2 linked regions of the Xenopus tropicalis genome follow. The protein of the gene in region 2 purifies or fractionates together with the protein of the main gene of each other region. This does not show direct contact. Links are inferred from orthologs where the notes say so. Each region holds a gene or a part of one and is shown on either strand. Other genes may lie near its edges. The genes, in order: acad11 and gtse1.

Region 1 (3,564 bases), on a different chromosome or scaffold from region 2:
ATTGCTAAGAGAAATCACATTTCACTTTCTATTCTTGTGATTAACTTAAAAAAATAATATCAATAGAATGAGAAAGGCACAAAGAATGTATGATGTCATTAAATTATGTTGGTGGGTGTCTTTGTGGTTGATCCTTAGACTATAAATCTTAGGCTATCTTGGGGTTACTGAGAGTTGTAATCCAACACACCCATATGTGTATCCTAACACAGAAAGGAATCGCCAGCGCTTGGTCTAACCCACGCTGTAGTGTTGACCAGCTGCTAGAAACACACTATTGTGCCAGTGCTCGGTCTAACCCACAATCTGGAGTTGACCAGCTGCTATAAACAATAAAAAGCCATTAAACATATGTGTATCCTGCCTGGGGTTAGGGAGTGTAGTGCTCCCCAAGCATTTCACACAGTGGAAACCTAAATCAACCACCATAATGTCTGTCATATAATGCTTAGTGTTATATGTTGAGGGTGTGCTGCCACAAAGTGGACATGTATGAAGATGTTGCCATCTACTACTGTGCTTGTGTTTGGGCTATTTTGGAAATGGCTCTTGGCTGGTTTTGGCCTAGTTTTGTGACTGGCTTTGGCTTGTTTTGCAAATTAGACCTGGCAGCTCTGGTCAGACAGAACATTATACATGGTGCCTGCCCACGTCCGGCTGGATTGGCCAGACAGAAATCAGCACAGGAAATTATTGGCTCCCTTTTCGTGGAAACTATAAAACAACAAAATAGGTCACTTATAACCGCAAGTGCTGTGTGCAAACTGCAAATTTGAATACAACCCTTGGAATGGTAGTAGAGTTGCACTTGTGCAGCACTGGCAGCAAAAAGTAGGATAGATACAATGGCACCAAGTGCAACTATGCAGAAGTGCAAAAATCAGCTTTGGACACAAGTACCTATAATAAGTGGCATTAATTTTATGCAACGTCTGCAGTCCACAGTTCAGTTAGATCATCTTTCTGGGATCTTCCTACTATTAGGTTACTAAAAGTTAAGGTGAACAACCCCTTTAATCGGTTTAGAATCAGGTATTTTTATTTTCTATAACAATATGTTTTCTATAAAAGCAGTGAAATTCCAGGTTTAATGGAGAAGTACATCCTGATGCAATAGGTTCAATAAAAGTCTGGGTAACCCTGTTTTATGGCTATAACTATAAGAAACTAGGTCAGTCAATATATGGTAGGGAAATCCAGTTAAAAAAACCCAAGTGCCCCTTTAAACATCAGCTTCTTAAGATAAGATCTGTGATACTTCATCCTATTGGCATTATTTTATGAGATCTTCACATGCACGCAGGTGGCCAAGTCACAGTCAAGCATCCAGTGAACCTTTTCTTTATGTCATTCGATTTCATTTTTTGAACACAATCCAGCTGTCAGATTTTAGCAGAAAGCCGCTTTGATTGTTCCAATAATTCCAGTTTTGCAATGGCTGAAAGGTGCACTTCATCAGGACCATCTGCTATACGGAGAGTACGAATAGCTGCATACCTACAAAACACACAGCATATATGTATATATTTAACTTACATTCTGCTTGTGAAAAACACATGATAAATACAAAGACCAATTTGAGTGTAATGGAAACCAATTATATTGTTTAGCAACAGAATATTAATATCTATGTTACCAGTGAATACTTCAACCATTACTACATCCACTAGTGCATGTATTAAGCAGTGATAAATCAAAAGAAACACAGTAATTAGAATGGTAATAACTGTTCCTTCTGCAAATCACCTTACATTAGTGTTTGTTAAGATAGAGGCCCATTAGAGTCTCGCCACCAGCCATGGAAAGATCCCTGTGGCCTAGAGTAGACAGTACAGGTATCGGACCCCTTATCCGGAAAACCATTATCCAGAAAGTTTTGAATTACGGAAAGGCCATCTCCCATAGACTCCATATTAATCAAATAATTCACATCTTTTAAAATTATTTCCTGTTTCTCTGTAATAATAAAACAGTACCTTGTACTTGATCCCAGCTAAGATATAATTAATCCTTATTGGAGCCAAAACAATCCTAGTGGTTTTAATTACTGTTTAAACATTTTTTTTAGCAAACTTAAGGTAGGAGATCCAAATTACGGAAAGACCCCTTATCTGAAAAACCCCAGATCCCAAGCATTCTGGATAACAATAATACCTATATTATAAATAAATGGTTCACATTTCTATCAGAATATCCCCTGAGACTAAATGGAGGACACAACTTAAGCAATTGGCAAACAATCTTTATGTCTGTGATTGGTGCCTTTATGCCTGTATAATATAAACCCCTTTAATAAACAAAGTCCGGTAAAAACAGCTGCAAACTATATAATTGTATAGAAAAGTCTGGCAAGGATGTAAATCTGTCCCCGTACATCTATGTGCAATATAAACAGTAAATAAATAATCCCTTCCACTGACAAACAGACGAGAAGCACATTGTTCCTTTTGGGGAAATAGGATGAAGTGTGAGGAACCTGGAACCTTGAATGGGGGTGGATCAAAACACAGTGATAAATTATTGCTCTTTGATTCAGAGGAAGGATGTGCTTAAATGAAAAAGGAAACAGATTGAATTGGAGCTATGAAACAGCTTTTCCTTGGAAAGAAACTGCTGTGTGTCAGTTTGTTTTCTGAACTAAACCTGCCTATAATAGCTTTCTCAGTGTCTTGTTACATTCCAGGAGGGGCTGTCATTCTTAGGGATTTTCCATTTACATCAATACTCCCTCTCATTTCTTTTTTGTGTGAATAATATTGTCTTCTGTGCACTCGTTGGTACGTGCAAGAGAGCACACAGCTCGGGGGAACATATATATATATATATATATATAACCACAGATTACTTAAATGTAAATTCAAATCATCTTTCCATTAAATCTTCAGTAAATCTTCCCTTCACATCAGAGTTGCACTCATCTTGCTACAAGAACAATATCAATGAATTATTTCCAGAGAATTACTTACATGGATGCCAGGGGGAAGTCTTGGGAAACCCCAGCCCCACCAAACACTTGAATTGCACGATCTGCAACCTTGCACGCCATCCTTGGAGCAACCACTTTAATCATAGCAATCTGCAACAGGAAAAATCTTTTCAGCAGTGTGATTCATTGTGGACTGTATAATACATAGATCTCACATGTATTTCCTATGCAAGGAAACTAAGCAGCTGCTCACATTAAAGTTTCCGTTCTTACAAAATATATTGTTTCTATAAACATTCAGTTTCTTTATGGACAGAATGAGACTATAGTATAGTTAAAATCAGTCTGTGACAGTTGGCTAGTGCAGCAAATATGGGCTGGCAGAAGCCATCCAGTACAAACTACTGCACCATAACAGCCACTATGGTTAGCTTGGTTATATAGAAGATAAGGTATTTTGCAAAATCTAGAACTCCACTTGTACAAATCAGTGCCACTGCTCTGTTTATAGATAGTAGGCTGGCAGTATAAGGGGGCTGCCACAGGCATTTCCATCTGGTCCATAAGGTGTAGCCATACCCACTAAACATGATTTATGATTTGGAAGCTTAACTGCTTAACATGTAGGCACTGGCAGG
Region 2 (4,453 bases):
CACCCAACCAACCAACAAAGAAGTTTCCGAAAGTGGATGGCAGTAAGTTGAGCATCCTTAGACTAATAACATTTTTGTTTTATTTCAACTGACTCAACATCTTGCAGATATCCGCAATGGCTGCAATTCAATGGCACTAGAAAAGAGTGCCATGTATCGATGTTGGTAGGGAATACAAATTAACCCTTGATCCAATGCAAAATCACTGAGGTTCTCTGAATATTAAATAGAATGACCACACAACTTCTGGGAGGACAATGGCAGTGAATGATGAGAAGAAAATGTAAAGTAAAAGGTAAAGGAAATTTCTGTTAAGGTACCTGAACCCTACTGATGGTACTTTTGAGCCCAGTGCAGCAAAATTACTTAAAGCAGTGTCAGAATGTAGAAATAAGGACATCAGAATTAAAGAGAGCTATGCCTTACCCCCTCCAGCTTGCATTGTGATAATCCTTTCAAATGTTTTTATCTTACTTTTGGTGACCTAAAAGAAAGCACACAGTCATAACTGTAGGTTTAACTAGATGCAAAGAGAATTTGGAATTTTTTTTATAGATTTTTACATTTCAGATGTTTTCCAAATACCTGTAACTTGCCTTTGCTGTGCACTACCTCTGTAAACTAAACTTACTGCCCGCTCTTCAAGACCATTCTTTCATTGTTTTATAACAAGGACAGACAAAGGGGCCCATTAATTAAACCACGATTATTTTTAATTTTTTTTTAAATCTTATCTTTTCGAATTTATAGAACTTATTGTCCACAATAATTTTGTCAAAATTCCACAACTTTCTCATGGTTTTTTTAACTTCCACTAAAAAGTTGTATTTTTAACAAAGACTACAACCATTTTGGAATTCATTCAAGCTTTGGTATCGTGACTATCTTTTGGCCAGGTAGGAGCTGTAGAGTGCCATTGCGTCCAATGGAAGGCTTCCAAAATCATACATTGAAGGTTTCAAAGCCAGAAAGATTTTCGTGCCGTTTGCAAACATTCGGATCCAAAAATTTTGTGACTTTAGGAATGCAAGCATGATATTTTGTGCGACCGAAAAAAAAACCAAAAAACAATTTGTGACATTTTCAAACATCAGAAATTTATCGTGGTTACTCCAAATTTTTTCCAATCGTGATTTTAACCACCCAAAAATCGTGGTTTAATGAATGGGCCCCCAAAGTGTTTGGTCTGCTTCTCTACACTTACTTACAAAACGCAGGTGGAGAGAAGCACAGCAACCATTTGTGTGCCCTTGCCCTTAAATTACAGCCACCCAGCTGGAGGCCTGGGGTGACATTCAGCTTGCAGGCGAGAATCCTGTGTCCAACAGCCTTGCAAAGAGTTTCTCACCTCCCTCCAAACTGTTATGGCCTGAGCAGCATATGCAGAAAAATTGCAGCACACAGTTATGACTGGCAAGAGAAGCTGTGGGGTGATTTAGGAGAGCAGCATGGATTCAAATGGCTATCTAACTCATCCAAGCCCTGGCTCAGCTACCTGGTTTACTGGTCAGGTAACAGCATTCTGATTCAGGACAGAGCAACCTGAAAAGAGTGAGGAAAACGTGAATCAACTATTGGACAAAAAGTAAAAAAGAATGATATGGAAAGTGTCTTTGAATTTCACTAACTGGGTAAAAAGTGGGAACCCTTTGCTTTTGCTGGCTTCTCATTTGAGCTTATTTCAGACCTGAAAAGGATATATACAAACAGACATTAGCACTCTTAGGAGCTGTTTAGCCATTCCAAGCAATACTCACCAGACAGTACTAATGCTTGCCAAAGGCAGATCAATTCTCTTTCAGATGAATAAAAAGGAGCAGATAGGTATTTTTAGCCTCGTGGAGAGGAGAGTGAAAAAATGTGTGTGCATTGTATGCCTACAATGGGTTTTGTTAATCTTTAAATGTTATGTTATACTTTCAGAAGCAAATCCCTCCCACCTAAAAGTACAAGGAAAGCTTAATTCTGTATGGACAGGCCAATGTGCTAGGCACCTCTCAAGAGAATTCAAGTTTTTTTTTAATTCTATGGGCATTTTAAAGAAAAACATAGGTAAATGCACAGGAAATGTTCTAAAACAGCAGTGAGCCTCCATCCTACTTCACTTTCCTAGCATTCCTTTTCATAAACAGACTTGCACATTAGAGTGCATTCTTGCATCCCCAATGAATTTAGGTTTCAATGTCCATTCAATAGATTAAATGAATATATTCCCACTTTAAAAGGCCAGCATACACAAAAAGGGCAGAAAGGGGGTTCCAAAGTCACTATATAAGGATAAACTAAGGAGCCACCATGACAGTGGGAGGGGGCAGATTCATGAGAAGGTTTCCTCCCTTCCATCCCATGGTATACCGGTGCCCCGAAAAATCGCATTATTTGTCACTTAATAAATGAAGTCGGGGGGAAGGCACGCTTAACAGATCCAGTGTCTGTGTGCGTCAGATCCCCAGACATAGGCAGCCAACCCGATCCCCCCCCCGAATTACATTCCAAGTTTAGATGATACTACAGCGGTTCATACTTTCACGTATTGACACATAGCATAGAAAGTATCATAGAGGATGTAAATGTTACACTGGCATTCATACCCCGCTAACATGAGTCTGACAGACCACCGCTGAAAAACAAGTCTCGAGAAAATGTGTAATCAATTGTGCAAGTGTTAGAGAAACTCACGTAGTCTTTCACGCATCTGTATCTCACCACTCGCTGCGTTTACCCGTTTGGCTGTGAGTGTGTCCGAAAAGGGTAGAATTAATGCACAGGTGCGAGCCACTAATCCGCCCGACCAACACCAAACAAGCCTCGTATGGTAAGGAAATTGCCTCTCGATTTCAAACTTCCAAGTAATCCCAACCTATCACGTGACGACCACTGCGCGTCCTGCTATTGGATGGTTTAAAGAATTTCCCGTCATTCAACATTTTACGTAAGAAACGTGCACTGAAGCTTAATGGGATGCGTAGTTTTCGGCCGCAATGTAAATGTATAAATGTGCTGTGATTGGACCGCTGAACGTTGTACTGCTTGTTTATGTTATACGGCGGCATGGCAGGCTGTCCAATGGCCAGTTCAGGAACAAGTAGTAGTCAATGTACATATACAGTATGTATGTATAACTTTATGAAGCGGCACAAGGGTAGCAGCGCTGTACAGTCTTACAATAATAAAAAATTACACACAGGGAGGACAAGTGTTATAAAAAATACAATAAATTAGTATAAGTATAGAGGTATGAGTGCTATGCGGTATGAGACACAGAAGGAAGGAGATCCCTGTCCGGTAGAGCTTACAGTCTAAGTACAGTGCAACTGGAAACAATGTACCGTTGCTGTGGTGTTATTAGTGATTTTTTTTAATATAATTTTTGTTTAGCCCAAATACCAGGATTTTGTTTCAGGATTCATTCAGCTGCAAGCACTTTTTTAAAGAATTGCTGTCAAATCCTAACCTTCAGAGGGAAAACTATTTTGAAGCCTGGAAACTGCATATTTTTAAGTAAAATATGTCATATTGCTGGGTGCAAATTGGTAGATAAAAGGGTGTAAATTGGGTTTTTCATTTCAGTAATTATTTTTTGTTACATTTGGGCAAATATTGTAATAGTTTTTTTTATTTTTCAGGCAAGTTTATTTATAAAAGAATTATTTACAATAGCATAGATACATGTGACATATCCCACAGAGGTTATATGGATTATTGAATATCTTAAATATGGTACAGCAGTAGACATTGCATTGTTTTTGTGCAAGAAGCATTGAAGTGGAGTGTGCCTTTGTTCCTTTTTTGTTGATGTTTACAGCAGTAGACATTACTAACAGGGTCGGACTGGGGGGTGCAGGGCCCACCGGGGCTTCTGCCTCAGGGGCCCCTGCACCCCTAAATGGCCCTTGCAGCCATCACCCCCCCCACCCGTGTGCGTGCAGAGGCCCCCAAAACCCTCCGACCCCCTCCCCCTAGCGCTCTTTAAAGAAATGTACCTGTGGCAAGTCGGGGGAGGGAGACGGCTGATTTGTAATAACATCTCTGATATGTAAATTTGACACAATTGGAAGATTGACAGTCTATTGTAAGCATAGGACCTATAGTATTTGTGGCAGAAAGGGGATAGGAAAATTTAAGCAAACAGCTCTTGCCATTTACCCAAAATCTATACCTAGTAAGATGTGAGTTTAAAGCAATGGTTCCCTAACTGTGAGGCAGACCTTACTTTGGTGTCCTTGAGCAGTGGTAAAGCGGTTAAACCCGTAGACTATTTATGGTGGGATTTGGGAAAATCTTCATTTGTTCTCCTTTTTTCCTCTGAAATCAGAGATGGATGGTCAGTTAGTTGAGATTTGGTGTAAACACGTATTTGCTTTGCTGACCATTATATTGTTGGATCAATGGCTGATACAGCAACGTTTTACTACTGTATATCTGTAACGTAGTTCATGCGCTAAGGAGAGCT

The links.
Region 1: the proteins of gtse1 (region 2) and acad11 purify together in Homo sapiens (co-immunoprecipitation; 3 studies listed by BioGRID and IntAct, counting the BioPlex papers as one, with this or other methods). This does not show direct contact. The link is inferred for Xenopus tropicalis from reciprocal best matches to the Homo sapiens genes GTSE1 and ACAD11.

The regions. Positions count from the first base shown.
Region 1 is NC_030682.2:52,961,061-52,964,624, reverse strand, and holds the end of acad11 (acyl-CoA dehydrogenase family member 11), read right to left. Parts: intron 3,077-3,564; coding exon 2,967-3,076; intron 1,498-2,966; coding exon 1,383-1,497; 3' UTR 597-1,382; downstream 1-596. UniProt on the Homo sapiens protein: Acyl-CoA dehydrogenase, that exhibits maximal activity towards saturated C22-CoA.
Region 2 is NC_030679.2:74,638,868-74,643,320, forward strand, and holds the start of gtse1 (G2 and S phase-expressed protein 1), read right to left. Parts: upstream 2,809-4,453; 5' UTR 2,680-2,808; intron 485-2,679; 5' UTR 443-484; coding exon 427-442; intron 1-426. UniProt on the Homo sapiens protein: May be involved in p53-induced cell cycle arrest in G2/M phase by interfering with microtubule rearrangements that are required to enter mitosis. Overexpression delays G2/M phase progression.